Linked DNA regions of Stegostoma tigrinum. The main gene of each other region encodes a partner of the protein of the gene in region 2 in a complex. Links are inferred from orthologs where the notes say so. Each region holds a gene or a part of one and is shown on either strand. Other genes may lie near its edges. The genes, in order: ATP-sensitive inward rectifier potassium channel 11-like and abcc8.

Region 1 (16,429 bases), on a different chromosome or scaffold from region 2:
GGGTACTTGGAACTACGATGTTGTGTCCATTACAGAAACTTGAGTAACTCAGGGAGAGGAATGGTTGTTGGAAGTTCCGGGATTTAGGTACTTTAAAAGAAATAGGGAGAGTCGAAAACGAGGTGGGGGGGGGTGGCATTGCTGGTCAGGGCTAGTATAGCAGTTACTGAAAGGCAATTGAGAATGATATGTCTGCAGAGTCAGTTTGGATGGAGGTCCAGAACAAGAAAGGAGCAGTCACTTTGTTGGGGTTTTTTTTACAGATCCCCTAATAGTCGCAGAGAAGTAGAGGAGCGTATACTGGAAAGGGGCAAAAGTCACAGGGTTGTAGTCATGGGTGACTTCAACTTTCCAAATATTGATTGGAAACATTTTAGTTGTACAGTTTAGATGGAGCGGATTTTATCCAGTGTGTTCCTGACACAGTATGCAGATAGACCAACACAAGGAGAGGCCACTTTGGATTTGGAGCTTGGCAATGAACTGGGCCAAGTGTTAGACCTGTTGATAGGCGAGCATTTTGGCAGTAGTGATCATAACGCTGTTACTTTTACAATAGTCACGGAAAAGGACAGGTACATACAGCAGGGTAAGGTTTATAATTTGGGGAAGGGTAATTATAATTCAGTTAGGCAAGAACTGGGTAACATAAAATGGGAACAGATGCTGTCAGGGAAGAGTGCTATTGAAATGTGGAGATTGTTTAAGGAATGCACACTGCGTGTGCTCGATGTGTTTGTCCCTAGCAGGCAGGGAACATGTGGTCGAGCGAGGGAGCCTTGGTTCTCAAGAGAGGTCAAATGTCTGGTTAAGAGAAAGAAGGATGTGTATGTAAGGTTTAGGAAACAAGGAACGGAAAAAGGTCCAGAGGGTTACAAGTTAGCCAGGAAGGAGCTGAAGAAAGGACTTCAGAGAACTATAATGGGGCATGAGAAAATCTTGGCAGATAGGATCAAGGAAAACTCCAAGACTTTTTACACGTACATGAGGAATAAGAGAATGACCAGAGAAAGGGTAGAGCCAATCCAGGATTGTAAAGGAAATTTATGCACGGAGCCTAAAGAAATAGGAGAGGTCCTTAGTGAACACTTTTCTTCAGTATTCACAACTCAGAGGGACCTAGTTGTGGAGGAGGACAGTGTGAAACAGGCTGGTTGGCTAGAGGAGGCTGATGTTAGTAAGGAAGATGTGCAAGAAATTTTGAGGAAGTTGAAGATAGATTAGTTCCCTGGGCCTGATGGGATTTATTCAAGGATTCTATGGGAAGTGAGGGAAGGGATCGCGGGGCTTTTAACGATGACATTTTTGTCCTCACAGTCCACAGGTATAGTGCCGGAAGATTAGGTAGAGGCAAAGGTCATTCCCTTGTTCAAAAAAAGGAATAGGGATAACCCTGGAAATTACAGGCCAGTTAGTCTTACATCAGTGGTGGGCAAATTATTGGAAAGGGCTCTGAGATGCACAGTTTGATTCATGATAGTCAGCATGGATTTGTGAGGGGTAGATTATGCCTTACAAATCTTATTGAATTCTTTGAAGAGGTGACCAAACACATGAATGAAGGTAGAACAGTGGATGTGATATACATGGATGTAAGTCAGGCATTTGATAACGTTCCCCATGGTAGGCTCATGCAGAAGGTAAGGAGGCGTGGGATAGGGGGAAATGTGGCAGATTGGATTCAGAATTGGCTGACCCTTAGAAGACAGAGGGTGGTAGTGGACAGAAAATATTCAACATTGTGCTCAGTTACGAGTGGTGTACCACAAGGATCTGTTCTCTTCTATTTGTGATTTTTGTAAATGATTTGGATGAAGGAGTGGAATGGTGGATTAGCAAGTTCGCAGATGATACAAAGGTGGGTTGCATTGTGGACAGTGCGGAGGGCTGTTCTAGGTTACAAAGGGACATTGACAGGATGTAGAGCTGGGCTGATAAGTGGCAGATGGAGTTTAACCCTGAAAAGTGTGAGATGATTCATTTTGGAAGGACAAATCTGAAAGCAGAACACAGGGTTAACGGATTCTTGGCAGTGTGGAGGAGCACAAGGATCTTGGGGTTCATGTTCACAGTTCCCTGAAAGCTGCCACCCAGGTGGATAGAGTTGTTAAGAAGGCGTATGATGCGTTAGCTTTCATTAATAGAGGGATTGAGTTCAAGAGCTGTGAAGTTATGCTCCAGCTATACAAAAGCCTGGTTCGGCCATCTGGAGTATTGAGTCCAGTTCTGGTTGCCTCATTACAGGAAAGATGTGGAGGTGTTGGAAAAGGTGCATTGTAGATTTACCAGGATGTTGCCTGGAATGGAGGGAAGGTCTTACGAGGAAAGGTTGAGAGAGCGAGGGCTTTTCTCTTTGGAACGATGAAGGATGAGAGGTGACTTGATGGAGGTGTACAAAATGATCAGAGGTATAGATAGAGTGGACAGGCAGAGACTTTGTCGTAGGGTAGGGGTAGCTATTACAAGGGGACATAGGTTTAAAGTGAGTGGAGGTAGATATAGGGGAAATATCAGAGGTAGGTTCTTTACTCTGAGAGCCGTCAGGGCGTGGAATGAATTGCCAGAGAGGGTAGTGGAATTGGCCTCATTTGGGGCATTTAAGCAGCTATTAGATAGGCATATGGATGATAATAAAAGGTAGGGCTGGAGGTTAGATAGACCTTGGGATTAGGATAAAAGTTTGGCACAACATCATGGGCTGAAGGGCCTGAACTGTCCTGTTCTATGTTCTAAGGTGAGGGAGCTGGTCGTTGACTTCAGGAAGCAGAGTGGAGGGCACGCTCCTGTCTGCATCAAGGGGGCTGAGATGGAGATGGTCAAGAGCGTCATGTTCCTGGGAGTGACGATGTGTCCTGATCCACCCATGTCAACGCAGTTACCAAGAAAGCACAACAATGTTTGTGCTTCCTCAGGAGGCTAAGGAAATTCAGCATGTCCCTAAAGACTCATACCAATTTTTATGGATGCACCGTTAAAAAGCATCCTGTCTAGATGCATTGCAGGTTGGTATGGCAACTGCTGTGCCCAAGGCTGCAAAAACCTACAGACAATCGTGAGCACAGCTCAGCCCATAGCGCAGACCTGCCTTCCAACCAGTGACTCTGTCTACACTTCCTGCTGCCTCGGGAAGGCAACCAACATAATGAAAGACCCCTCCCACCCTGATTATACTCTCCTCCACACTCTTCTGTTGGGCAGAAGATGTAAAAGGTTTAATACACATGTGAGTAGATTCAAGAACAGTTTCCTCACTGCTGTTATCAGACTTTTGAACAGACCTCTCAAATGTTAATTGTGACCTCGCCATCTGCACCTCCTCAATGTCTATAACATTGTTTTGCAACCCTGATGCACTTTGTATGGTATGATCTCGCTGTATAGCACGCAAAACAACACTTTTCACTGTATCCCAACACATGTGACAACGATGAATCGAACTCAAACTCAAAATCTATTTTAATTTTCTGTACTTAGGTCTGTTGCCAGTTGCTTGCCGGTCCAAAGTGCAATGCCATGTTATTCTTACAGGTGGCGCTGCCACAGTGGAGCCCACTACTACCCCCACTAGGGCTCATGCGGTACTGCAAGGACAGAAGCCACAGCTGAAGGTGTGTTTTACAATGCAGTTCCACCATGCCCCACCGTTTCAGTTAAAGAAATGTTTATTGCTCCACCATTGGTGGTCATGGCCTTCAAGTATCAAGGCCCTCAGCTCCAGAAATCCTTCTCGGCTTCTCTGTCTCTTTTAAGATGCTCCTTGACAAAGTGCCCTTTCATCTCCTTTATGTGGCTTGTTTTGTATGTTTTGCTTTCTATTCATTTGTGGGATGTGGGTAACGCTGGCTGGCCAGCATTTCTTGTCCATCCCTAGTTGCCCTTGAGGAGGTGATGAGCTGCCTTCTTGAACCGCTGCAGTCCTCCTGGTGTGGGTTGACCCACAATGCTATGGGGGAGGGAACTCCAGGATCTTGACCCAGCGACAGTGAAAGAAAGCGATATATTTCCAAGTCGGGATGGAGAATGACTTGGAGGGGAACTTGGAGGGGAACTTGGAGGTGGTGGTGTTCCTATATTTCTGATGTCCTTGTCCTTCTAGATAGAAGTGGTTGTGGGCTTACAAACTGCTCCCTAAGGATCTGTGTTGAATTTCGGTAGTGTATCTTGTAGATAGTGCACGCTGCTGCTACCGAGCATCAGTGGTAGAGGGGTTGAATGCCAGTGGACGTAGTGCCAATCAAGCAGGGGCCACTTTGTTCTGGATGGTATTAAACTTCTTGGGTGTTGTTGGCGCTGTACTTATCTAGGCAAGTACAACAGTCGCATTTTGGGCGTAGTGGCACAATATAAATGCAAGTTGTTGTTGTAAAGGGCAAAGCAGCTGTTTCTGGGCTACAGGGTGAAGGTTTCACTTTAACATCCTTCAGTCACACCTTGACCAGCATCTGTACAGAAAAAAGTGCTTTATCATCAGTGTGTTGGAGAAATTGCTTCATAGCATTGCTAAACTTGTGACGTGAACCCAGCCTAATCCTGTAATAATAAATCAGCTGTGATAATTAGAAGGTACATGGTGAATAAAAAGGCTCCACATTCTTCAAATACTCTTCAGTGAGTAAATCACACAATTTCCCTCTTAGTTCCATAAAGATGCAGTTAGTCTGAGATCATCTCCAAAAATCTGGGGAGACATTGTTCACGACAGCCTGAATTTTAGATACATTTCCAAAAGGATAGGTGCACTTAAACTCCAAAGACAGACAGGTTCCATTAGCAAATCACAGTGCAGGGGTCTATTCTCTCTTTTGGTTTGTGTAATCAGCTTCTTACGACACACATCTGGAGCAGGTCAGATTTGAATTTGGAGATAGGGACACTGTCATGGTGCCACCAGTCTCTTTTTAGGTGACGGCAGCCACACTAGCAGAGATCTAACAGGATCCCTGGATTATAATTAGCCACAAGTGATCATAGTCCAATGACAACAAAAGATGCTGGAGATCACAGCGAGTCAGTCAGCATCGATGGAGAGAAAGCAAGCTAATGTTTCAAGTGTGGATGACTCTTGATGAAGATCTTCAGCTTTTTTATTTGTTTTCAGTTCAGTTTTCAGCAGGTGCAGTAATTTGCTCCGACATTGTGTATGATCCAACGACACATCTTCTCTACGGAAAATCATCAGACAAGAAAAATAGGGCAAAAGGTTTATGATACTTGGCTAAAGAATCAGAGGGAGGGGTGTAGTGTTCACATGTGCTGTCTTTGTGAATCTGACACTGCTTACTATTGAGGCCCACGGTATTTGATTGATTAAACCTCACTGTGGACTCAGACAGAAGTTAAGAACCTGGGGAAAGGGAAGGCAGATGCAGTGACAGTGGGATGCAGTAGTCTCTGAGTTCAAGCCTCACGGCAGGACTTGCTGGCTGTCGTAAGAGTGTTTGTAACTTCGCCAAAAAGTTTGACTGTTATTTGGCCCATCAAGTCCACTCCATATCATGGCTCATAAATTTCTCAATCCCATTTTCCTGTTTTCTCCCTTAATCCCCTTACCAATCAAGAACCCATCTGTCTTATTTCTTAAAGACAGTTAATGATCTGGCCTCTGCAGCCCTCTGCACAATAGGTTCACCATTCTCTGCCTGACAAAAATCCTCCTCATCTCAGATATAAAGGATTGTCCCTTCACTCTGAGGCTGTGCCCTTGGGTCCTGGTCTGTCCGAACAGTGGAAATGTCTTCTCCATGTTCATTCTATCCAGGCCTCTCAATACTCTATAAGTTTCAATTGGATCTAAACTCCATTGAGTACAGACCCAGAGTCCTCAACTGCTCCTCATATGACAAGCCCTTGATTGTGGGGTTCATTCTCATAAACCTCCTCTAGACCCTCTCCAATGAACAAAAGAACATAAGAACCAGGAGCAGGGGTGGGCCATCTACCCCCCTCGAGCCTGCTCCACCATTCAACAAGATCATGGTTAATCTTTTCATAGACTCAGCTCCACTTACCTGTCCACCCACCATTACCCTTAATTCCTTTATTGTTCAAACATGTATCTATCTTTGCCTTAAACACATTCAATGAGGAAGCCTCAACTGCTTCACTGGGCAGGGAATTCCACAGATTCACAACCGTTTGGGTGATAATGTTCGTGCTGAACTCAGTCCTAAAACTGGTCCCCCTTATTTTGAAGCTGTGCCCCCTCGCTCTAGTTTCACCCACCAGTGGAAACAATCTCCCTGCTTCCATCTAATCCAATATTATATGTTTCCATTCAGATCCCCGAACTCTTCAAAATTCCAATCAGTATAGTGCTAGTCTACTCAGTCTCTCCTCATAAGGGAACCCTCTCAACTCCAGAATCAACCTAGTGAATCTTCTCTGCACCCCCTCCAGGGGCAGTACAAACCACTGGTGTATGTTACCTCTCAATGTGGACCCAATCTAATGGTAGTACAAGGCCCAAATTGCTGGAGAAACTCAGCAGGGCTGGCAGCATCTATAGAGAGGAAACACTGGACAGGAAATGTTAACTCTGTTTCTCTCTCCACAGATGCTGCCTGACCTGCTGAGTATCTCAAGCATTTTCTGTTTTTGTCTGTTTCAGGGCAAAAGACAGACAGATTGAGGGAACGTTCCACTAAATCTGTGTTGTCCTTCTCAGTAAAAGATTGCATGATTCGGATGAACAAGAGGGGCAGTGCCTTGAGAAAAGACTGATAAATAGAACAGGAGCACCAACATAGAGCAGGTATTTTAAAACATCATTTCTGTGTAGCTTGGAGAATATAAAAGGCACATGGAGGGGGGAGTGAGGGGGATATCTATTATCTACCACAGTGAGTTGTTCCAATCTGGACTGTGCAGTTTGAAAAACTCAGTGGAAGCAGACTGAAAAGTAATGACATTCAAGGAAGTTAAGAAGCAAGGGATGGCACAGTGGCTAGCTCTGCTGCTGAACAGCGCTAGGGACTGGGGTTCGATTCCACCCTCGGGTGACTGTCTGTGTGGAGTTTGCACATTCTCCCTGTTTCTGTGTGGGTTCTTTATGTGTACTCCAGTTTTCTCACAAAGAGCCCAAACCTAAAGGAGTGATAATGGGAACTGCAGATGCTGGAGAATCCAAGATAACAAAATGTGAGGCTTGTTGAACACAGCAGGCCCAGCAGCATCTCAGGAGCACAAAAGCTGACGTTTCGGGCCTAGACCCGTCATCAGAGAGGGGGATGGGGTGAGGGTTCTGGAATAAATAGGGAGAGAGGGGGAGGCGGTCCGAAGATGGAGAGAAAAGAAGATATATGGAGAGGAGAGTATAGGTGGGGGGGTAGGGAGGGGATAGGTCAGTCCAGGGAAGACGGACAGGTCAAGGAGGTGGGATGAGGTTAGTAGGTAGCTGGAGGTGCGGCTTGGGGTGGGAGGAAGGGATGGGTGAGAGGAAGAACCGGTTAGGGAGGCAGAGACAGGTTGGACTGGTTTTGGGATGCAGTGGGTGGAGGGGAAGAGCTGGGCTGGTTGTGTGGTGCCGTGGGGGGAGGGGACGAACTGGGCTGGTTTTGGGATGCAGTGGGGGAAGGGGAGATTTTGAAACTGGTGAAGTCCACATTGATACCCCGGGCTGCAGGGTTCCCAAGCGGAATATGAGTTGCTGTTCCTGCAACCTTCCGGTGGCATCATTGTGGCACTGCAGGAGGCCCATGATGGACATGTCATCTAAAGAATGGGAGGGGGAGTGGAAATGGTTTGCGACTGGGAGGTGCAGTTGTTTGTTGCGAACCGAGCGGAGGTGTTCTGCAAAGCGGTCCCCAAGCCAAACCTAAAGGAGCATAGGTTTAAGGTGAGAGGCAAAATATTAAAAGGGAGGTGAGGGTAACCTTTTCACACAGAGGGTGGTATGTGTACGGAATGAGCTGCTTCAGGAAGTGCTGGAGGCTGGTACAGTTACAACATTTAAAAGGCACCTTTTACATTAATAAAGGTACACGAAGAGGAATGGTTTGGAGGGATTTGGGCCAAATGCTGGTAAATGGGACTAGATTAGTTGAGAATCCAAGATGACAAAATGTGAGGCTGGATGAACACAGCAGGCCAAGCAGCATCTCAGGAGCACAAAAGCTGACGTTTCGGGCCTAGACCCTTCATCAGAGAGACCCTTCCTCTCTCTGATGAAGGGTCTAGGCCCGAAACGTCAGCTTTTGTGCTCCTGAGATGCTGCTGGGCCTGCTGTGTTCATCCAGCCTCACATTTTGTCATCTTGGAATTCTCCAGCATCTGCAGTTCCCACTATCTCTCTTAGTTGAGGATATCTGGTTAGCATGGATGAGTTGAAATGAAAGGTGCGTTTCCATGTTGTACAGCACAATCTGCAAGCCAGGTGGATTGGCCGTGCTAAATTGCCCCAGGGATGTGTAGGTAGATTGGCCATGGGACATGGTGGGCTTACTGGGATGGGGTGGGGTGGGGGTGTTTGGGATGCCGATAGGAGTGTGGACTCGATGGGCCGAATGCCCTGCTTCCTCCGTGTCAGGATTCTATGAGAGGTGGGCGGAATTACAGAGCTATGAGCTAAAAAAAGGGGAACGTTTGGATAGCAGCTAGCGCAGGTGGGCTGAATGGCCTCATTCTGAGCTGGATTATCCAATCGAATTGCAGGCTATGAAGTGAAGTGTCAATAACAGAAAGTTAAGTTTGGGACAATGTCATGGCGCTTTCTGGAAACAAAAAGATGAAAGAATATTCCTGCAAAATCTTTAAAATTCTGTGAAGAAGCAATTCTTGGAAACTCGTCTGTCAGCAGTTTCAAAGAATAAAAAGCCGATCGAGTGAGGCTCGGAATTGCTGAGGAGAATCTGGAGTTTACAATACTGTACTTCCCCTTTAAGGAGAATTCGCGCTGCCATTTGGCAGAATAAAATCCTCCAATTGCCCTTAAGCCGTCACTTTAAAGGTCCTATCTATTACTTGTTTCCATGGGAATAGATGGATCAGCTGTTTTCTTTTGTGTGACCTCTAAGGAGACACAAACCCCAGGCTTCCTCGTATTTTTGGACCAGGCTGTTCAGCAAATATCATTCCCACCCACCCCCCCCTACCCACAGCCAGGCCAGGTTCCTGATCGAAAGGGATGCTCAATCCGTAAACCTCTAGGTTCCAGACGAGCAACCAAAACAAAGCGAGGATACAATCTTTAATCTGATTCCTCTTGCATCCAAGGTCAGTGAATGTTCCGGTTTCTGGACCTTCTACTGTGCGTTCACAGAATAATACAACAAGATAAAGGGATGATCAGGGCTGTTTTACACTGACTGCATGCCATGTTTACTAAGGTAAGTATTCAGCTGATGGCTGAATTACTAACACACAGCCACAATTAGATGTGGTACTATTGCTTCATATTTCAAATGCCCGTTCTGCAGAAGGAACGGAAGGATTGCATTCGGGCAGCGTCCTTTCAGCACATTCCAGCCAAGGGAGTCCTTTAGAAGCACCGCCACTGTTCATTGCAGTCAACGTGTGCACAGCAAGCTCCCACAAACAGCAATGTGATGAACAGAGAATTTGTGTTAGTGATGTTAATTGAAGCTTGGAAGGGTTTCCCCTGTCCCTATTGTGAATGGTCCCTCGCTTGGCTCAGCTGTCTGGATGACTGGTTTACAATGCAGAGTCAACACCAACAGTGTGGGTTCAGTTCCTCTGCTCCCACACCGAGGGTGGTTTGTAACAGAATGAGTTGCCAGAGGAGGCTGTAAATGCAGGTATAGCTTCAACATGTGGACAGGAAAGAAAGGATCTGCAGCAGAACATGGCTCCTTCAGGGCTGTGTTGGAGGGTCAATGCTGTTGTATTCTTGCTGCGGTGTGCTGACCTCTACAACCTCCTGTTTGACAGACAAAGGTGTGTCTGACAGCAGCTGGGTGTTACCATTACTCCTGTGTCCACCTGCAACTGAACTCCCCCGCCCCAACTTCTTTTATTCCCCACCTCCTCTGCTGCCAAAGCTTCTCGGTCCCCAACCAGGACCTTCTTTCATCCTTTACTTGTTCAAGGTTTGTAATCCCTGATGGCAGGGACAGAACTTTCTCTCTCTCTCTATCTGATTAACGTTGTGAGAATGTTTTTCCCTTTTTATGTGGAGTTTTAAGGATTGCTTTCTGGAGGCTGAGTGTGGTATTTCACTTTGATATGTGACAGTGGTCTCTATCTATTTCTCTATTGTTTCTATTTCTTTCCTGGAGAGCAGGTTTCTGGTCTTTTCTTTTAAACACTCAATTACCTTTGAAATAAAGGCTGACATTCCATTTTCCTCCCCTATTACCTGCTACACTTGGATGCTATTCAAACCATCTCCAGCTTTGCTCCCTCAAATATCTATTCCTTCAGTGTGAACAGCTGGCTATTCAACTATGTAGGTCATTGCTGGCCATCTCGATAATGTTTTCACCTGATGTCCACCTGTGTTTTTCTGTTGGGCAGTGGCTAGAAAATGTCTGACAGTTTGTGTACAAGCACGTTGGTCACTCTGCTAGCCAAAGGCCCTTGTACTATAGAAGGGAGCTCAACACATGCTGGAAGTCTTACGCTGGACTCAACATTCACTCAATATCCATTAGATTCAAGAAGCTCAACACCACCCAGAACAAAGAAGCTCACTTGACTGGCATCTATCAATCACCTGATGCACAGTTAACCATCTACAAAATGCACTGCAGTAACTCAGCAAGGCTCCTTTGGCAACCCCTTACCAAACCCATGACCTTTACCATCAGATACATGGGAGCACCACCCCCTGCTTCCCCTCCGAGGCATTCACCATCCTGACTTGGAAATATATCGCTGTTCCTTCAGCGTTTCTGGGTCAAAATCCTGGAACTCCCTCCCTAAGAGCATTGTGGGTCAACCTACAATGTGTGGTTTTTTGGGTGTTTAGGAAAACAGCTCACCACCGCCTTAGTATCATAGAATGTCTGCAGAAAGAAGCCATTCAGCCCATTGAGTTTGCGCCAGCCCTCCAAAGAGCATCCCTCTTGATGGGCCAAATGGCCCATGTCCGCTCCTACAACTTAGGTTATTTTTAAAAATGAGTTTGAAGAGGATTTGGAAGCTTACAAGTTACATGTTTCCCACATTACAGATGCGACAAGTAAAAATAAAAACACCTCATTGGCTTTGGGATGTCCTGAGGCCCAGAACAATTGGCTTAATGAAAATGTGAGTCTGTGTGACTTTTTCACACATTTTCTGAGTTTGTTTCTCTTTCTTCACCTCTCGCTATCTCTAAACAGAAGCTCTGAGGCATTGCTCACTGTCTGTCAAAGATAGAAAGGTGGAGGGACAGATGGTGTTGAGGAAACAGAGGCTACAGAAGGACTTCTGCTGGGAGAGTTGGGCAAAGAAGTGGCAGATTGTATTCCATGTGGGAAAATGTGAGATTACGCACTTTGATAGGAAGCATAGAGGCGTAGATTATTTTCTAAGTGGGAAACAGCTTCAGAAATCTGTAGCACAAAGGGACTTGGGAGTCCTAGTTCAGGATTCTCTGAAGGTTAACGTGCAGCTTCAGTTAGCAGTTAGGAAGGTAAATGCAATGTTAGCATTCATTTTGAGAAGTTTAGAAAAGAACAACAGAGATGTACTGCTGAGGCTGTATAAGCCTGTGGTTAGGCAGCATTCGGAATATTGTGAGCAGTTTTGGGCCCCGTATCTAAGAAAGGATGTGCTGGCCGTGAAGGGAGTCCAGAGGAAGTATACGAGAGTGATCCTGGAGATGGAGTGCTTGTCATATATGGGACGGTTGAGGACTCCATGGAGTTTAGAAAGACGAGGGAGGTATCTGATTGAAACTCTCAGAATACTGAGGGGCCTGGATAGAATGGATGTGGAGGAGATGTTTCCACTAGTAGGAGAGTCTCGAACCCAAGGGCACAGCCTCAGAGTGAAGGGAGAACCCTTTTAGAGCTGAGATGAGGAGGAACTTCTTCAGTGTGATGGCGATGAATCTGTGAAACTCATTGCCGCAGAAGGTATTACTTCCAATGGCCAAGTCATTGAGTGTATTTAAGATGAAGGTAGGTCCTTGATTAGTAAGGACTTAGTGTTATGAGCAGAAGATAGGAGAATGGGTCTGAGACTTGTCAGTCATGATCAAATGGCAGAGCAGACCCAGAGGGCCAAATGGCCTAATTCTACTCTTGTATCCATGGGAAAAACAGAGTGGTTATAACATGTTACATGCTAAATTTTTTATTTTAATTTCAAAAATATCTTTTGTGAATAAAAAATATTCAGATATAATATCTTTTGTGCATAAAAAATATTCACATATATATAGTCACAAATGCAATTCAATTCTGTACAATAGTATATTAAAGAAACCAACAAACACAGGAGTTTACCTCTATCCAAACAAACCAAAGGCATCTCTTAGAATGGGACTACATTTATATGCAGAGACAGTAAGAACTGCTGATGCTGGAATCAGAGATGATGCAGTGTGGAGCTGGAGGAACACAGCAAGCTGAGCAGCACCACAGGAGCTGGAAAGCTGATGTTTCGGGTTGGGATCCTTCTTCATGCATCTCTGCTGCTTTCCCCATTTCTGGAGAAGCGTCCTGACCCAAAACATGAACGTTCCTACTCCTCTGAAACTGCCTGGCCTGCCGTTTCTCCAGCTCCACAATACATTTATATGAATTTGAAGCATCAGGAGGGTCTGAAAACTGAACAGTTCCCCATTTAAATTTGGCAGGAAGGCCGCTGACAGTGATCTTTCTCCACTGCACCTTGGCGGCAGCCGCCCAAGCTATGGTGCGTCCCTCAGCGTGTAGCCCTGAACGTTGCAATGTGCTAATCTGGAACACTTAGGCTGGGTCAATTCCTTGTTCTGGAGGATGGCAAGGTTCAGGCAGACCAAAGAGTGTCTTTCACTGAGTTGACGGTGCTTGAGGTGCAACCAATGTTTGTCTTGGTGTGCAGTCCTGGGCAACAGACCGTAGAGCACAAAGTCCTGCATCACAAAGCTGCTCAGGATGAACCTCAACAAAAAACCACTTTCTAATTATCATCTTATTATGGTGTGGCATGAATAATTTAGCACGTCTCTTGGCTCACATACAGACTAATTGCTTTCAGGTATATCTTAGGTGTATCTTTCTCACATAGGACCAACTTCCTGTTTCTTTTTCTTTCGATCTTTTCTGTTGTTTTTGGCAAGTCAAGTGGCTTTCTTTGTTTGATAACTTGTTTTAAGAACAAATCAATTCCTGATGTGGCTGTAGGACTCCTACTATGTGGCAGGTGAGTCTCAAAATCTGAAACACTGGATTGACCAGAATTAATCTGATACTGAAATCTACTTGCTTTTTTTTTGTTGGACACTCTAAGGGCTGGCCTAAGTCATCAAATTGGCATTAATTTCAGATGTGTGTACCAGCGGGAAGTGATACCTATCAGTTCACCTGGCCTTGCTATTTCTTCCTGTTGATACACTAGTGGAACATCAGCTGTTTTATGTACAAAAGTAGAAGTTGCTGGAAAAGCTCAGCAGGTCTGGCAGCATCTGTGAAGAAATCAATCAGTTAACATTTGGGCCCAGTGACCTTCCTCAGAACTAGACCTGAAATGTTAACTCTGATCTTTTTCTTCACAGATGCTGCCAAACCTGCTGAGCTTTTCCAGCAACTTCTGTTTTTGTTCCTGATTTACAGCGTCCGCATTTCTTTTGGTTTTTAACTGTTTTATGCAATTGATTTATTGTCATCCCATGTACTGAGATACAGTGAAAATTGTTGTTTTGCCGTGGTAACCAGGCAGATTGTACCATACAGAGTGCAGAATACAACATTACTGCTGCAGGGAAGTCTCAGAGATAGAGATCAGAGTTAACATTAGCGAGGTCCATTCAGAAATCTAAACAGCAGGGAAGAAGTTTTCTTGAATCTGTTCATATGTGTATTCAAACTTTTATATCCTTTGCCCAATGGGAAAACATAGAACATAGAACATAGAACATAGAACATAGAACATAGAACATAGAACATAGAACATAGAACATAGAACAGTACAGCACAGTATCGGTCCACGGTGTTGTACCAAATTTTTACCCTAAACCTAAGGTCTATCTAACCTCCATCCCTACCTTATATAATCATTCATATGCCTATCTAATAGCCACTTAAATGCCCCTAATGAGGTCGATTCCACTACACTCTCCGGCAATGCATTCCACGTTCCTACCTCTGATGTCTCCCCTATATCTACCTTCACTCACTTGGAAGATAGTATAACGGGGAGTGGGATTGTCACATGTACCGAAGTACAGTGAAAAGCTTTGTTTATGAGCAGTACAGGCAGATCTGAGGAGGCAAGGATGTGCAGATCGTAAGGTGAAAAAAATACTTAGAGGCATACAGGTTACGTTGCGCAGGGTGTGGGCTAGACAAAATCGACATTAGCAAGATCAGTGTTTCGTGAAGCCAGAAAGTCCATTTGTCAGTTTAATAATGGGCGGGAAGAAGCTGTTCCTGAACCTGCTTGTGGGTGTGTGTTCAGGTTGAGGTTGTAGGAGGTCATTACCAGGGTGTGGTGGGTCTTTGATGTTGGCAGCCTTTCTTCAGCAGCGAGCCGTGTAAATGGAGTCCGTGGATGGGAGGTTGGCTTCCGTGATGGTCTGGCCGTGCACACCACCTTCTGTAGTTTCTTACGGTCCTGAGCAGAGCAGTTGTCATACCAGGCCATTACGGTAACTCCAATAAATTTGTTAGCATCTCCCTGGACCACTAGTAGTAGCAGCCTCTTGTTTCTGTGTTAGATCTTAAAGTTCCGGGACTGATACATGATTACAAAATCTAAACATTGACACCATATTGAGGGTATGCAGCATTGTTAGAGATACCAACTTTTGGATGAGACATTGACTGAAGAGCTCATCTGTCCTGTCAGGTGGATATAAAAGGCCCAATAGCCACAATTGGAAAAAAAATGCAATGGAATTCTTTCCAGGGTCTTGGCCAATACTTATCCCTTAATTGGTATCACTGAAATAGTTTATCATGGAGTAATGGGGTCTCTTATTTAAGACTGAGGTGTGGAGACATTCTTCCCCTCAGAGGGTTGTGCGTTTGTGGAATTCTCTTCCCGAGAAAGTGGTGGAGGCTGGACCATCAAATATCTTTAAGCCTGAGTTGGATAATAGTTTGACTAATGAGGGCTTTAAATGGCATGGAGGTAGACAGGAACATGAAGGCCACAATTAGATCAGCCATGATCTTGTTGAGTGACCCAGCAGGCCTGAAGGGCTGAATGGTCCACTTGTCCTCCTAATTTGTGTAGAATGATTGAAGCACAGGAGGAGGAGGAGGAGTACATTCACCCCACTGTGCCTGTGCTAGCTCACAAAAGCATCTACTTTCACTGATCCCAGTCCCCTGTTGCCTTGCCTCCACTACAAATCCAGGCAGTGTATTCCAGACCCTAAATACTTGAAGCATATAAACATTTTTCCCTCTGTAACTTGTTTCTTTTCCCAGTTACCTTTTTAAGTTGGTATTCTCTGGTCCTCAACCCTGCATAAATAGCAACAGTTTCTCTCTATCGACGCCATTCAGCCCCTCCAGCAGTTCTACTAAACCTTGTGATCTCCAAGGAGAACAGTCCCAGCTTCTCCAATCCATCCTCGCATTCCTTGAGTTCTTCATTCCATACTCACCTTGTGAGTTTTTTTCAGAATTGTCTCTGAAGTCTTTACATCCTTCCTAAAGTGTGATGACCAGAAATGTACACAATCCTCCAGTTGTGGTTGAACCAGGAATAAGTTAGGGTTTGTCATAATTCCCTTGTTTCCCTACTTAATGCCTCCATTAATAAAGTCTTGGATCTGTTGACTTTCTTCACCTCTTTCTATCATTCTATGCTCCACCCTCAGTGACTTGTGTGCCTATATCTTTCGCCAAGTCCTCTACTTCCATATCTCTTTTTAATTATTTCCCTTTGTTTTAGCTTGGCTCTCTTAATTTTTCTCCCTGAAGTGAATCTCTTCACACTTCCCTGTTTTAGTTTCATCAACTAGTTGTCCGCCCTTAAACTTCAGCTTGTCTATTTCCTCTTGAGGTCCCTCACCGTGCATCTCACGGTTTTGAAGTGCTTCCAAGTTTTGTCACTTGAAAAGGTGTCCTCCAGACCAATCCTGGGTGACAGGCATTGTATCAGAATGAACTGGTTGCTTATCACTGCCGTTTTGGGATCTTGCTGTGCACAAATTGACTGCCACGCTTCCCATATTGCAACAGAGGCCACAATTCAGAGGTGCTTAATTGGCGATAAAGCGTTTTGGTTCATCCTGAGATCTTGAAAGAAACCATACAAATGCAAGCTTTATTTAGCTTTTGGTCTCTGGCTTCATTTGTCATTCTGAAAGTGTTGATTTCAGTGGGGTTGG
Region 2 (16,910 bases):
AACGAGAATAGGATCCAACTTCAGCGACTGCAGCAGCGGCTAACTTCTGCAACCCTAAGCAAATCTGCAACTGCTCAGAGTTGGGCACAGGCACACAGATAAAACAGCGCTATCTAGAAAGACATTTAATCACAGCGTGTGAAGTTTCAAGCGTTTAATGACTTGAATTGGAAGTTGAAGCCGAATACATAGACTTTCATACCCAAAGACAAGTATTTCGTAAAATTCCTTTTGAACACGAGCTGTAGTAGGCAATTACTAAAGACTGACTAACAACTTGGGTTATTTCCTTTTCTCTGAAGAAAGGTCACGTGTTTTACAAGGGTGTTACCATCACTGAATAATTGTGGGCAGTTTTGTCACCACGGAAAGTGAGGGGGAATTCATGCTGAAAAATTGTCACAATATAGCTACACAATACAGTTCAAGAACAGCGAATGAACATTCGATCTAAACAAAACCTTGTCAGGGATCTGTTCCACCTACTTGTTTTCTGGATCTCCATAAGAAAGCTTGCATAATATAGTGCCTTTAACCCATGAAACACTGTTTAATGCCTCACGATGTTTCAACGAGATTGGCATTAATGTAATTTTCAAAAACCAAATAAGAAATATTTAATAACGCTGCTAAGGTATAGGGATTTGTTTACTGTAGGATTTTGAGTACAAAGTTAAAAAGCTGGCAATCCAATTTAGCACTGAGGGTGTGCTGCACTGTTGGAGATAACCCCTGTCATAGGGGACTTTTAATTGAAGTCCAACTGCTAGCTGGAGTTGACATTCCTGAAGAATTGGTGGACCAGGGCACAGTTCTAATATTTAAAAGACACTTAGACAAGGTGTTGTTCTCCAATTTTGCATTCCGAGTTACAGTTTATCTTCCGCCTGGGCACACTACAGGTGGGAGGACTCAACCTTGACTTCTCCAATTTCAAATAACCTTACCACTCATTCCAGGCCTCCCCTTCCAGCCCCACCTCCTCCCTTCCAGTTCACTTTCTAATCTTTCCTTCCAGCCACCAACCAATTCATCCCAGCCATCGGCCAACCAGGTCATATCTATTACCAGTGTCCACCTATCACCACCATTCCATCTCCACCATTTGCCCCACATTTATCTGCAGCTCCCCCACACTCATATCGAGTCCTGAAGAAGGGTAATACCGGAAACGTTGACTTCTCTCCTCCAGATGCTGCCTGGCTTGCTTGGACTAGTTCAGTTTGAAATTATGTTCAGTGTAGACTGGTGGGACGAAAAGGTCTATTTCCATGCTATATGACTGCATTAAAGATTCCAAGATGCTATTCAGAAGAGGAGTAGAAGAGTTGTTCCTGGTGTGCTGATTAATACAAACGTCACATAAAGAACCAATTGTCTGGTCGTTATCACATTGTTTACAGATATCTTTCATGCTCTTTGCAAATTGGCTATTGCAATTCCTACATTGCAGCAATGACTACACGTCAAGTAGTTACTTGGCCATAAAGTGCTTTAAATGTTCGCTGGTCATGATGGGTATGTGCATTTCTTTATTTTGTTTCTGGCTAGTATTTAATGACTATCCCTAATTGCCCTTGACAAAGTGGTGGTCAGTTGTGTCCTTGAACCATTGAAGTCCTTGGACTGTTGGTACTCCCATGATGCTATTAAAAAGGGACTTCCAAGAATCTGACCTCGAGGCAATGAAACATGACAATATAGTTCCAAATCAAGTTGGTGTTAGCTAAAACAGGACCAAACCAGCCAAAGAGATAGCCTTTAATGTGAATTGTAAAAAATGAATGAGCATGAACCAGAGTTGGAGAAACAGAATTCTCAGTGATTTCCAGACCTGGAGGAGACTCCAGGATCGGGAGGGGTGAGAGTAAGAAAATTAAGGTCAAGGCATTCATGGGTCAGGGATCAGTATGGTGAAATGCGAACAGCACAGTGAATGTAAGATTCTTAAAATGAGTTAAAATATGGTAAAGCAGAGCTTTGAGTAGGTTTAATTTTCAGGATGATGTAAATGAAAGGTAGTCAGAACATTGGAATAACTGAATTTGAAAATAATGCAGAGTTTCAGCAGTTGATGAACTGAATGAGGGGCAGAAATAGGTAGTATTTTACAGAAGTTAAGGTGGAAGGGCTTGGTAAAGGGGAGGACACAAAAGTTCAGTTCAAGGTGAAATATAATTGAAGGTGATGCGTAGCCTGTGTTTCCAGACAATTGGTCAGTATGTAGATAGGATAAGTGGCAGTTTCAAAAAGCCAACCATTTTGCTTTTCCCAATTAAGGTGAACTGGAGGCAATTTTATCTTATCTGGGTCTTGATGTCGGAGAGACTGACGTCTCAAAGCATTGGAGGGGTTAAGAAGGAGATGGCAATGTAGAACAGGGCATGTACATGGGACTCATTGCATGTCATTGAGTGATGTTGCCAAGCGGCAATATGCAAATGAGAAATAGGAAAGATATCTATAGTCGATGCTTGAAGTCTCCAAAGGCATTGATAGGTGGAAGCAGAAACAGTCTAATTGCCACTGATACTTGTTCAGTTGTCCATTCCAATAGCTTAACATAATCAATAACTTTTAAATTAAATATGTCTCCCTTTTTTTAGAATCTTTTTGTTCTTAACTACCCAAGCTCTGGCCATTGATATTAAGACCAACCACCACAATGAAAAATTTGCTTCAATCAGTTTTGTTAATTCATTTCATAATCCTGAAAATGCCATCGCATCACTTGTGTATTACATTATCACTACGTTTTGGGCATGTTTATTTTGTTTGTGTTTTCACTACAAATTAACAATTAATGGCCCATGAAATGTTGCATTTTTTGTTCAAGATAATCAGATAGTTACATCTTTCTCCTCTTTTCATTAAATTGAGAAAGACAACTAAAGGATGATTGAATTGCAAAATATTGCTAAGATTGAACACAATGGAAAACAATGCAATAAGTCAGCAACTTGTGATTAGTTGTCAAGCTTAGATTTTTAAAGTCTGCACATTACAGAAGACAGAATAAATTGCAGAGTATAATGTTTAATAATTGTCAATATCAGACCTCTTCAAAACATTCCAAATGCCACTTTATGTCATATTGAATAGAAGATTTTCACCAATTTCATGTGAACATTTTGTTGTTTTTGTTAGCAGGCAACTATTTTGTTCTAATTCTCACTAATTCAAGATCATTGCCCAAGGGTGTAAATTATCTGGAATCATTGAGTTCATTTTAACATTTTGTACAGCTTCAGCTAATAGAGATAAGGTAAAGTCTCAAATTTATTTACGAGCAGCTGGATTTTCATTAATTAGAAGCTACTATTGAAATTAAAATGAGACAGAACCCAAAGGAGGGTGCAAAGACTGGGAGTTAAATACATTCTCCTGAGACGAGTAAGCTGTTGAAGTCTAATTTGTTGTCTCACATATAAAATTGTTGATACATTTCAATTATTGACCGTGTCTAAAAGAATGTTGATACAATCTAAAATCAAAAATACATCAGCAGGATGACAATAGTATTAATAGGCATGATTACTCTAACGTCCTTCATGGAAATTAAGTCCCATCACCATACACTGAAGGCAACCTCTATGATATTATGTGATATTACCACTATGCTAAACTGTACAGATTCAGAACACATCTAGGAACTGGAATCTTGCATCCGTGAACAAGTGTAGCCATCAGCAGCAGCAGAGCTGTATTCAGCTATAAAGATAGCCTCATCACTTGGCATTGCCCCCCCTCTATCATTAGAGTCAAGTCATGGGATCAACTCTGGTTCAACAAAGAGTGCTGGAGACCGTGCCAGGAGCAGCACAAAGCATATCTAAAAATTCTCAAAATGAGGTGCCAACCTAGAGAAGTTACAGCATCAGACATGACAAGCAGCATGAATGGTGCCGGACAATGAAACAACTAGTTAAAAAACTAGATCTACAAACTTCTCCATCTGCAAGGATGGCAGAGTCCAGCACATTAGTGCAATAATCTCAGCCAGAAATACTGGGTGGATGATTCGTCTTGCAACTTGGTCGCCTCCTCAGTTGCCCATCATCTTCAGCCAATTTGATTCACTCCACAAGCAATAGGTGAAGGCTTGGTGCAGCAATAGCTTTGGGTCACGGTAGTAATATTAATGATTTGCTTCAGATTAGGCGGACCTCTAGCAAAGCCATTGAGGTAGTAACGAAACTGGCATTTACCCAAATGAGAAAATTTCCCCAGTTCATAAAAAGCAGAACAAATCTAACTCAGTCAATTTCTACCCTTTTAATCTCCTTTCAATCATAATGTGATGGAAAGTGTCATTAGCAATGTTATGACGCAGGATTTATGAAGCAATAACTAAATGGCTAATGCTTAGTTTGTATATTGCTATGGCCACATAGCTCCAAACCCATCTACAACCTTGGTACAAATGTGAGTAAAAGTGAAGAACTCGAGAAGTGAGGTAAAAGTGACTGGTCTTGACATTGAGGTAGCACTTGACTAAGTACGATATTAAGGAGTCTGAGCAAAACTGAAGTCAATGGGAATCAGGTGAAAACCTTTCCATTGGTTGAAGTCATACTTAGAACAAAGAAAGACAGTTGTGGTTGTTGGATATCAATCACCTCAGTCCCAGGGCATCACTCAGGATAGTGTCCTCTGCCCAATATCTTTGGCTGCTTAACAATGAACGTCAAGCTATATTAAAGTCAGTTATACAGATTATTGCTAATAATTGTACAGTTTATCACCACTCATGACTCCTCGGATTCTAAAGTGATCCTTATTCATGTGCAGCAAATCCTACATAACATTCAGTCATGGGCTTATAAGTGGCAAGTAATATTCCTAGCGCACAAAAGTCAGGTAATGACCATCTCCAAAAAGCGAGAATCAACCATCTTCCTTGACATTTAACAACATTACCAGCCCTGAAATCCTCACCATCAATACCCTGGGATTACCACTCACAGAACTGTATTTCATCAAGCCATATAAATAACTGTGGCTTCAAGAACACGTCAAAATTATGTGGCCAGTAACACAACCAGCTCCCGAAAGCCTGCCTACCATTACAAGGCAAAAGTCAAGAAAGTGATGGAATAATCTCCGCTTTCCTACTTAAGAGTACCTCTAAGAATTTGCCTGAAGCTTAACACATTTAAGGGCACAATAACCCATTTGATCAGTAACTCTTCTACCATAGCAAAAAAAATCTGTGTGCTTCCACTAATGATGTATGGTGGTAGCGATGAGAAACATGCACAAGATGCATTGCAGCAACTCTACAAGGCTCTTTCAACAGTACTTTTCAAATCTGGAATTTCTATCACCAAGGAGAACAAGAAAGCAAATACATGGGAACATCATCACCTGTTTCCCTTCTGAAACATACGTCATTCTAATTGAAACTCTGTATCCACAGTGCTGGGCCAACATCCCAAACTCCCTTCATAACAACACTATGGGTATCTACACTGGTTAATCTGAATTAATTCAAGAAGAGAGCTCACCACTATAATGTTCACATACCCAAAAAAAGAAATAATAGTAAAAACAATTTCTACTTCTTTCTACATGTGATGCATACATTTAGTACATCAATATGTACTATGCAATACTATTTTCAAGCAATGTAAAATTAACTTGTATTCTTTAAGTTGCTGGATTAATGCAAAAATTCAATAATAATTAGGAAGTTAATTTACAGCACCATTAAATTCTCCCAGCCATGTGACTCCTGGTCTATATCTTGTATCTATAGCTGCAAAGTTAATAACTGACTATTTACCAGTAGGTTTATTTGTATAATAGATATAAATGTTTGCAACAGCTGATGGAAAACTAGCTAACATCAAAACAGAAGTGAACGCAAAGACCTAGAGCAAAAATATGTATTTAAGGTGATAAGGGAAAAAACCAAAATAGCTAGGAACAATGGCTTCGAATATTATTGCAAATTCATTTCTGTATCTTAGCAGTTTGCTTTCTAGTCTCTACAGGAAATAACTACTTTATTCTGGTTACTGATTCAAAACATTTATTTGTAATGTAAATCTATTTTATTTTAAATTCAATCATGGTCTGTTGATGTTGCTGACTTGGTCAATATTTAGAGGTTATTTCTGGTTGTTCTTGAGCAGATATTGGTGAGCTATCTACCTGAACTATTTCATTCCATTTGGTACATCCACAATAGCATTAGGCAGGGAGGTCCAGGATTCTGATCCATTAAATCAGGAGGAAAGGCAATATATTTGCAAGTCAGAATTGTGACCAGCTTGGATGCGAACTTACTGGCGGAGCAGTAACTTTTTTTTTACATGAGAATCTAATCTTCCTACCAATAGACGGTAGTTTGTATTTTTCATTTCTAACATCACTCTTTGGATATATGTGCTCCACAATGTTGATTGGAAACCATCGTCCTTATATTGGTGTTCATTAGATTGATAATAATAACTTAGTAGTAATCAATAGGATGTATAAACATTTGGTTTGATGAATTGTTATGGCTTGTAGGTTGGGGACAGTAATGTTATGCTTTACTAAATTTATTAAAACAAATTATTCTGTATTTCTTGCCTCTTTATATTGACTGAATGGGAAACATTTTGCCAACTGAAATTCATGAGCTAATTGTAACTATAATGTGACCCATTTCTGTGAATGCTATTGAAAACTATAACCTGAAATTCTATAATATTGACAAATATTGCCTTTTTCAACAAGTGGTAATGACACTCAAAACAACTACCCAATAGATTCAAATACCCTAAAATTAATTGGGATTTGACAGTTGTATTGTTCCAGTTTTCAGTAAATGCCTAACAGATACGTAGCTACCTCATAAAAATTCAACGTGCTTTGGGGTCAACCATAGATTCTGGATTTAAGCTACTTGGCTGATAGAATGATTGTTCATTATGGAGTTATCCTTCTTTCTCAAATTGGAAAGGAAAACCTGCAAGGGGATCTTAAGTATTGATTTTCAAGGCAGTGAATTACACTGTTGCAATTATGCAACATTATGTTACATGTTGGCAGTGCCCACACCCCATGAACGAATAAACTAAAACAGCTGAATACATCCGTCTAAACCACCAACGGCCGGGATAACGCACCCTCCCATCGGCCATGGTAACAAATATTAGCTGACTGCTGATGTAGCTGGTTTTGCTGGGAGCATGTGAGGTCTCACCATCCTTTCAAGGGCTCGTTGTTTTACGTAAAATGCCTGCCAAGATTTGGGCTGCTTAGCCAGACATTAACGTGAAGTATACTACAAGAATCTTTTTTTTCAAAAATCGTTAGGAATTGTTTACAGCCACATCGCATTACACATCTGAAGTCGTGATTCTAAGCATTGCACTAGCAGAAGTAGAGGGGATTAGTTTGTACTTTGTTCCTGGTAGGGGACTCCTTGTCATGTGATATAATCGAGACCAAACACAGCTCGAAGCAAAATCAAGACCCCAGTTGTGTAACAAAGCAAAATTCCTGGCAGCGAGCCACCTAGCGTATACAAATTCATGGTGCTGGATGTATACATTATACTGATGTTGGGAGTAACCCCCGTATCTAATCTACACCAAATTGGCTGTCGCACTATATTCTTATGAGCATAAAGTTGAGGATGTGATCAAATATGTCGTAAAATCTACCTAAATATAACCGGGTGTTACAAAGAATACAACCTAAAGAAATAAGTACTTCCGATAGTGTTCATATCCAGTGTCTTTCTTTTACTGGAAGAATGTGAATTTGGAAGTACATCGATATGTCATATTGACAGAATGAAGTAAAAACAATAACGATAGAAGATGAAAACAAAAATGACCCCGAGCTCTAGAGAAATGAAATACTGCAGTGCACTTGCCCAACGCAATTAGTAGTGCTCGTTTCAAACTCTAAGGGGGTTCGTAGTCGTTGGAGTCAGTATTTCCTTGAAAAGGGGTAACTTCATCCCATTACCTGACCTTCCCTCAGCCGCAGATGCAGCATTGCCGTCCCTCCTCTTCCCCTTCACTCATTGGCTCAACTACTCCGGCGGCGTCTGCACAGCAAACGTCATTTTGAGAAAAATACCCCACTTTGAGCTGACACCTCTTCAGCGTTTCAGTTCGGGTCCCGCTTCTATTGCGGTGCAAGTGATCACTTCAAACGTGTAGGCTAAAACAAAGACAAAACCCCGAACGTTCACCTTTAAAGGGAGCTGAGTCCATACTGACGGATACAGTGCCTGCAGCAGCTGCTCCGGACCCTGGATTTCGGAACCCTGATCTGGTTACTCTGACAAGCTTCTAAACCCCACAGCAGGCAGCACTTACTGAAGGGAGATACAATGCGGGTTCCCATGGTGCGATAATCACGACATTTAAATGTGCTTTAAGCTTACCTCTTTATACCTGGTTATCATTTTTTAGCTCCGAATTTAAGCTGTGAATAGTGTGCCATTGAGAATTACAGAGGTTCACGCACATTCGGCACAGCAGGTCGTGAAAATTGAAACAGGTCAGGACCGCGTGGCGGTCAAACCTATCACCGGAATCTCTCCTGCTTTGTTATGCTTCAAACTCCATCTTTTTCTCCAGAAGTAGGTCGACACTGTCATTGCTTCATCCCGATGCTATTTTCCGCGCCTCATGTTCTGTCGCCGTCGCTCTACTTGGCTGAGTGCAGGTTGATTACTGGAGTGCCGTTGCTACAGTGGGTCACACAAACACCCGGAAAGAAAAGGCTGGTGGGGGAGGGACACACACACACAGCTCAGTAATAAGGGGGAAGCTGCATTTAGGGTTCAGCGGGAGCTGCTTGAAGTGAGAGCAGCGCGGGATGTACTGTAAATAAGGCAGCAGAGCGCTCTCCGTGGTACCTGGAGTCATTTGCTAAAAGCTCTCGGCGCGGTAAAGGCGGAAAGCCGACTGTGCAATCTGATGTCATATTTGTTTGTCGAATGTGTATTTCTTTCGCTTCAGTGCAGGTGAAAAGCCAACATCGTGCCAATCAAGAGTTGGATAACATCTCGAAATCTAGTCTCACATCGACTCCACCGGACAGATACAATGACAGCATTCGCAACCTGAGTCAGGCAGTGACGGTTCGAGAGACTCATCATCCAAACCTACCGCTATCCTCTGGGTCAATTATTTGGAACATTTTCCAACTTCATAATCAGAGAATCATTTGTAAGGCGTTAGATACAACGTCTTAATGGGTGCAAGCCTTTTTCCATTTTCTTGAAGCATTTTATTCTTCATGATTTCAACAGCCAACGAAATGAGACCAGAGTTGAAAATGTAGAAATACATTAGATGTACAATTACTATAAAGAGTTTACCTTACAGAACAAAGATCAATTCAACCTCACACTGAAAGTGGTCCCTGTCAAATGCTTCAAAAGAATTTTTGTTTGCGATCCTAAGGTTCAAGCACCCCAGTCATTCATTGGTCGTTGGCACAACATATTTCCGTGGCTACGTCATTACTTACTTCCCACCTGATATCTGCGCTGCTTTCCCTCTGTTTTCCAGTATACCCCCCCCCCCACCTGTCCCCATTATATGGTGAGAATATGTTGGGAATATTGTAAGGATCACATAGGAGGCCTCAATGGAATGTGTAAATGGAGTTGGAGCTCCTGTGAACATTCAAAGATTGAGATCCTTTAAAGGGTAGATTTGAAGCCAAAGGGGATCTGGTGAGCTGAGGGACAGAGAAAATGAGGAAGCATTGACTAGTATAATTGGTTAGAAATGGGTATACATTTGAACTGTTAAAGCCAGAGAGATGGAGACATGATGCAGGTTGAACCATCTGAGTATGGTTATAACAAAGTGTGGAGCTGGATGAACACAGCAGGCCAAGCAGCATCTCAGGAGCACAAAAGCTGATGTTTCAGGCCTCGACCCTTCATCAGAGAGCTCTCTGAAGTGGTCCTGAGATGCTGCTTGGCCTGCTGTGTTCATCCAGCTCCACACTTTGTTATATTGGATTCTCCAGCATCTGCAGTTCCCATTATCACTGAGTATGGTTATAGCTTAGAATATGATCGATGCGATGATGGTTTCTAGCCTGGGAGTGTGAAGAAGAGGGCAGGACTACAGAGATGTCAGAGGGAATTTAATTAAGTGTGCTCCCCTATATATTGACAAGGTCTTAGGTTAGACCTCTAATTCTGCTGCCATGAAATCCTGGCAATCTAAAATGAAATAATATGTTCTTATATTTTTAAACCTACCTTTTCCTTTTGCAATCAGGATACTTTGCTTTGCTTCTTTGTGACTGGCTTTAGAGTAGGATTTGCACTATCTTAGTATCAGTTTTATGTTACAGGAAATGGATAAACACAGCTGAATAAAAAAATCCATTTTACAAATAAATTTGTGTATCATAGTCTTCATTAATGCTGCATTGAATTTTATGATGTAGTAGAGCAGAACGTTTGTGCACATGAATAATCATACATCAAAAGGATAATTTATCAGTTACAAGAAATTCTTATCTTTCAAGGCTATTGAAAACACCAACTATTTAAAACAATCACTATAATTTTTCCTTTTCCTTAAACAACAGCTTCCCTTAAAGTGATGTACCAGTTGAGACAGAGAGAAAGAATTAAACCTGGCAAAAATGTACCCAGAGATAATGGGAACTGCAGATGCTGGAGAATCCAAGATAACAAAGTGTGAAGCTGGATGAACACAGCAGGCCAAGCAGCATCTCAGGAGCACAAAAGCTGACGTTTCGGGTCTAGACCTTTCATCAGCTCTGATGAAGGGTCTAGTTTGTGCCTAGACCCAAACAGGCAAATTTCGTTCAAATAGAAACTCTAGGATTAGCTGCTGAAACTCTGTAATCATATTTTTCACAGCATAACATGCAGTTGTTGCGTGTTTGATAATACGTCCTCCTCGTGTCATGCAGATAAAATAGCACAGATGATTCATTTAGTTTTTATAAATCCCAGTAAATTTTGCACATTTTGATTGGTTACAACTATGGGCAATATTTGCAAAGTATTTAATATAATTCAGGAAAACACTCCAGTCAATGCCATAATCAATTTCATACCCATCATTTTAAATGTTCTGCAGTCAGATAAGCACACTTTGAATAGTTACCTTGCCTACATTTTAGAATTAGCCTGGACTATCTGGGAATTGAAGATTATTTTCCAGGACACTATTGAAGTCAATGTTGAAATCAAGCCAAAGGATGATACAAGGAAGTTGTAACCATTTTTTCATTTTTAAAATCTTTTTTATTAGAAGATGAAAAGATTACTTGAATGAAAATAATGTGTAATTCAGTTGCAATTTACTTTCACTTGCAAGGTAAATGCAAGGGAGATCCAGGTGGGTGATACTTCAGCATAAATAATAGAAGGTAATATTGAATGGTCACGAGAGCTTCAACTGCTGCAGCATATTTTTGTTCTGATGGTATTTTCTAGGGAGTTGACGCTTTCTGCTGGAAAATGGAACATCAACTGAAGATCAACATTGTGCCCTATTCTCCATTGAAAACATTTGTGACCATTCCTTCATAGATCTCAGCCCTAATATTGAAGTCACGGAGCTGAGAAATGACAGTGGAAAACAAGGAAACTGGGCCCAGAAAATGAGTTTCATCATGTTAGCCATTGTGATAGAGGTGGGAGGACAAGCAAAGTCAGAGTCAGGTCTGCAGCCAAATGATGGGTAGTTGTGTAGTTGTGAAATCAAGAAGAATTTTCCTTATGGATTGTTATGGCTTGGATCCAAAACAATCAGGTATCACTTGGTAAACATATCAATTAGTAGTGTTCGCTGTTCCGTTTGCTTTCTGGGTCCATACTGTGGTACACTGGTTAAAAAAAAGATCCTTAGTTCTGTGACACACACTCTCATTTGATGTCATGCATAACATTACAGCATTTTGTTCAATGGAGACTTAGTTTGCTCATGGTGAAATAACTCCACAGAGGCTAGTATCCCATCACTAAGTCATCCTTTGTTGAAATGTGCATAGTACTTGATGTTGATCTGGCTTCCTCAGAGCCAGCTTTCAGAGTGAACAGGATTTCCAACACTCCTGTTTATATCCGTCAGCTAGGGCTCCCTGACTTGACCAGATTAACAGACCCAATAAGGAAACTGATTCTATGAGATCCACCTGACTGACCTGCTTACAATTATATCCCTCCCCCTGTCAATGCCACAATCAATTTCATACCAATCATCTTAAATGTTCTGTCTGGGGATGTTGATCTGGTCTTTCTCTCGCAAGCCTCTCCTGGAGTGTTTTCACGCTAGGTCCACTTCCTCTGACTCTGCCTCAGACACAAGTGGCCTGTACCAGACTGTAACCTGCCTCTTGCATCCAGAATGTCTCACAAGAAATTCATCTTCAGGCAGTAAAGGTGTTGACACTGCGACATCCATTGTGTCCATCTCAGACTCTGAGGTTTCTTTGACGCTAGACCAAGGGAGAGAATGCATGGGTTCCAATAGCCTTTCTGGATGTTCTGAGGGGCTATGTGTGTTTTGCTCCTGCCTTATTTGCCAGTTTGCTGCTTTCACATGGTCCATGTACTTGTTCAAGTCCAGGTCACTCCCAAGCCAAATTTAGGTGGACTTTCCAGGGTGTGTACTCTCCTGGATACTGGGCTTATGAGTTTTCTTACTCCCGTTAGATCTAGTGGGACTCTTTTGTTGTCTTGAGTCAGCATACCATCAGCAACCACAATAGGTTGCTGTTTGGCTGAGGCTTGGCTTTGTTTTTGAGTTTTGTTGTGGGCTGACCTGGGGTCCCAAATGAGGCTATGCAATTGCTTTAATTCAAGTGGTGCTCTCCAAGCTCAGTCAGCATGCAAGGATGCCCACTCCATTGGCACACCCTGTAACTCATATGCTACACTTGCTGCATTTTCTAATGAGAAAGCCAGTAGCAGTGCCTGCTTGAAGTCCAGTTGGACTTGAGCTAGTAGGTGCTTTTGCATGGTCACATCATTAATCCCACATACCAAATAGTCTCTCATCTTCTTATTAAGGGTTAAACCAAAGTCACATGTCTCTGCCAGGTATCTAATCAGGTAAACAGGTAATCCCTGGTATCTGCCAGGTAATCCCAACACAATCCCCCTGTTCCTTGAACTGTTGAGTAAAACCGATAGCATCTTAAAATTAGAGGAAGCTAGATTCATAAAATTCCTGAACTAAATCCATCAACTCTTGAAAGATTTTACTATCTGGTGTGGCATGAAATATTAGGCTTCTTGTAACTAAAAAAGCTGTGGGTCCACATTACTTATTGCTTTTCATCTGGCCTAATGTCATTTGCTTAGAAAAAATGACACTATCTTTCCATATACTGGTAAACATCCTCAGTGCAGCCTCCGATGAAGTGTTGGTGTGTTTTCTGGCCTGGTTTTTAAACTCTGGAGTCAAAAACCAGGTGGGAAAACACACCAACACTTCATCGGAGGCTGCTTTGAGAATGTTACCCAAGCGTGGTAATGAAACGTCTGTGATACAAGAAACCAATTTGGCGAGCCAACCAACCTCAACACCCACAACCCAAGCTACAAATCTACTATAAGACCTTAGATACTGGTAAAACTGACACATTGCTCTCAAATAACACAACAATCTTCAAGTGATAGCAATTTTGTTAAACTAGATAAACATTGGTACTCCACATTTTATATCCTGATCTGAGGCTGTGAGCACACTTATCTGGAAGTCTGAGAGGTATACCAGTCAGCTCTTTGCAATCGACCCATGCTGAATTTGCAAAGGGATATAAAAAAGGGACAAAACAGACAATCTGTAAAGTGATTGGTTGCCAAGAAACTGCAATTAGTGACTGTGTTTAAATTGCTGTAAAATAACAATGCATTTTTTCCTCTAAGAGTTAGCCATATTTTATTCATTCATGGGATGTGGGTATTATTGGCTGGGTCAGCATTTACTCCCCCTCCTTAGCAGCCCTGGAGAAAGTGGTGGTGAGCTGCCTTCTTGAACCTGTCCACTCCATTTGGTGTAACGACATCCACTGTGGGTCCAGACTGACCAACATTGAAGGAGTGACGATACAGCTCCAAGTCAGGTTGGTTATTGGTTTGGCAAAGAACTTGCAGGTGGTGGTGTTCCCAAGTATTTGCTGCTTTTGTGCTTATAGATGGAAACAGTCGTGGGTTTGGAAGGACAAAGGAAATGAGAAACATCAGGAGCACGGTACATTCAGGGCCAAGACAATAATGTAATGCAGGTAATCCAAGACAAAGTTAATATAAAGGAAGTCATTTCATAACATTTAGATTTAAATTTAGATTCTTATGTCACATGTTCTCCAGTATACAGATACAGGAGTACAGTGAAAAAGAATACAAATTCACTATTCTCTGGTGCCAACTTAGTATACAAGACAGAATTACATATTTTTGAGGTGAAAGAAGATTTTTAAAAAGACATGATGGGCAAATGTTTTTTTTAACCAGACAGTAGTCTATATGAGGACTGAAATTCTTGAGGAAGTGGTGGACATGGTAAGTTCAGGAATTCGAAAAATTTGGAGGGTATGGGCCAGGAGGAGGCAGGTGGGACTGGTTTAGTTTGAGATCATGTTCAGCATGAACTGGTTGAACGGTTGTATGACTATGACTTTATAAGTAAAAAGAACCTGCCAAGAGAAAGGGAAATGTCCAGATCACTCCCCACCTCTACCATGAGTCCTCACTGCCACAAAGTCCATGCCTCAGTTTGTGAATACTCAGCTGCCCTCAGTCCCTGCACACCACTGCAGCTGGAACATCACCACCTCCACAGTCAGGACTCTGGGCCCAGCCATTGCTGCTAGAACCATGTCGCCATTGTTCAGTGCCATCTTGCCTCCACCAATGTTGTCGCTGCCATGAGTCCGTGCTGAGCTGATCTCAGTGATGCAGCTGCTGTTAAAGTCGCTGAGTCCTGAACTGGGCTCAGATTCAAAGCTGGGCACACTGCCACCGGCTCGCTGAGAATAGGATGGCTCCTACTGCTGAAGGAAACACTCCCACCAATAAAGGGGGAAAAAAAGAACAAAAATGAAAAAAATAGCAAAAGTAAAAGAAAGGGAGAGAGGAAAAGAAATGCATTTGGAAGTGGATGAGCACTGGGTTCAGGACCTGGGCATGAATTCTACTACTCTGCTACAGCGATCTTTTCTGTCATGGCAGTGCAGCTCAGTCAAATGAAATATTGGCCTGTAATAGTTGGGAAATTATAGTCCTTACTGATTTCCTCAATAACTATGTTGCACAAGTTATTGTCAGTGGCAGAAACTTGAATCGTGGTTTTCATAACTCAGTCACTGTGGGACATCATGGCTGGTTTTGGGGAAGACAATATCTGTACAAGCCAGGTGGGTTCCACTTGATCAGAGCTAGTACTGAGTTCCTTGTGGGGCCCTTTGCTAATACTGTTGGGAGGGCTTTAAACTAATTCTGCAGGGGTGTAAGAATCGAGTGGCACTACGAAAGCTGAAACTAGGGATGCACAAAATGTTTGCAGAGACTGATAACATGAGTATCGAAAATATAAAGGTGAAGGTGGAATGAGGAGAAAGGAACTCAGTTTAAAATCAGGATTATTGTGTATGTTTGTGAATGCACAGGATGTAGTAAATTAGACGGGGGAAATACGGGTGCAGATTGTCATCTGGAAATATGATGATGTGACGATAACAGAGACCTAGGACACGGAAGAGCAAGAATGGGGGTGTTAAAAATTACAGAGTAAATGCTGTTTAAAAAAGATAGGAAAGGAAAGAATGGATGAAGAATGGTGGTGGTGGTGAAGGAATTTTATAACAGAAGGAGGCAAAAAAGCTCATTAGAATCCAAGGCATTGTGAGAAAAGTCTGGTCGCCAATGGAAATTATCGAGTTTCTTGAAACAACAATTCTTTCTGCTAGCAGTAGACTGAGTTGATATTAGTCCAGGCCAGGAATTGTAACAGCAGAACTAAAAGAACCATTCATTTCTCACTTTAAGGACACTCAAAATTCCCTCAACTTGTATTAGGAGACATCATTCAACACAAGGAAGAAATCCATGACTTACTCAATGATGCTGATGCTTCATAAAAATAAAGTAACTGGAAAAAGCAGGGAGATGTTGAGGAAGATGCCCCAAAGTTGTTCAGAATTCTGATTGATATATTAAAATAAAAGTGCCAGAGAAAGGTAACACAGAAGCTGTCAATCTTACCACTGATGCACCAAAAACATGGTATTTGTTTCTGAAATTCCATAGCTTTAGGAAAGCTCAAATGAAGCAATTTATTGACCCATGTAATGCAAAAGATATCAATTTCTTTAGTTGTTTACCCAAGATTAAATTTATGATAGTATTATATAATCAAATACAATAGTATTTTGCAATAGAGAGTTCTTGGCTAAGGCATATTAATTCATAGATTGTACTTAAATGTTCTCCACATGCAACTTTCCTATGCCATTTTGGGTTGGGAGAAATAGTCAAAGGTGTATTTGGAACATAGAAACAGGAGTAGACCATTCAGCCCCTTGAGGCTGTTCCACCATTCAATGAGATCATGGCTGATCTGTCCTCTAAGTCCAAATATCTGCCTTTGGCTCATAGCCCTTAACACCTTTGATTAACAAAACAAAATCTCAGATTTAAAATTAACAATTTGTGATAGGGGGAAAAGTCCCCCATACCTGATATGACAACAGTCTATTCCTTTGAAGGACAGTTACTTCCCAACATTAAGCAACCAATGTTAAAATATTTGGTGAACTTATTGAACATAAAAAGTGTGGAACAGAATGAAACGATTTAGCTGAATGTATCACACCAACACAGTTCTACGAGGTAACCAACCCGGCAAGATAAAAAAAAATGCTTTATCAAAGGTGGCTCATTAAGCTGT

Evidence for each region.
Region 1: the proteins of abcc8 (region 2) and ATP-sensitive inward rectifier potassium channel 11-like are in contact, whole or in part, in a cryo-EM structure (PDB 7S60), measured with the Homo sapiens proteins. The link is inferred for Stegostoma tigrinum from reciprocal best matches to the Homo sapiens genes ABCC8 and KCNJ11. Residues at the interface, in NP_000343.2 of Homo sapiens: Phe5, Ser12, Ala13, Tyr15, Arg16, Val17, Val21, Asn24, Cys26, Phe27, Ala30, Val33, Val34, Val37, Phe41, Phe44, Ile46, Phe48, Ile49, Gly50, Trp51, Gly52, Ser53, Ser55, Lys57, Val58, His59, Ile60, His61, His62; in NP_000516.3 of Homo sapiens: Val44, Ala45, His46, Lys47, Asn48, Ile49, Arg50, Gln52, Gly53, Leu56, Val59, Thr62, Leu63, Lys67, His70, Leu73, Ile74, Met77, Cys81, Leu84, Leu85, Met88, Trp91, Leu92, Phe95, Ala96, His97, Gly98, Leu100, Ala101.

Annotation. Positions count from the first base shown.
Region 1 is NC_081391.1:22,559,398-22,575,826, forward strand, and holds the start of ATP-sensitive inward rectifier potassium channel 11-like, read left to right. Parts: upstream 1-9,107; 5' UTR 9,108-9,306; coding exon 9,307-9,323; intron 9,324-16,429. UniProt on the Homo sapiens protein: Inward rectifier potassium channel that forms the pore of ATP-sensitive potassium channels (KATP), regulating potassium permeability as a function of cytoplasmic ATP and ADP concentrations in many different cells.
Region 2 is NC_081370.1:23,366,155-23,383,064, reverse strand, and holds the start of abcc8 (ATP-binding cassette sub-family C member 8), read right to left. Parts: upstream 8,882-16,910; 5' UTR 8,414-8,881; coding exon 8,393-8,413; intron 255-8,392; exon of another isoform or gene 203-254; intron 1-202. UniProt on the Homo sapiens protein: Regulator subunit of pancreatic ATP-sensitive potassium channel (KATP), playing a major role in the regulation of insulin release.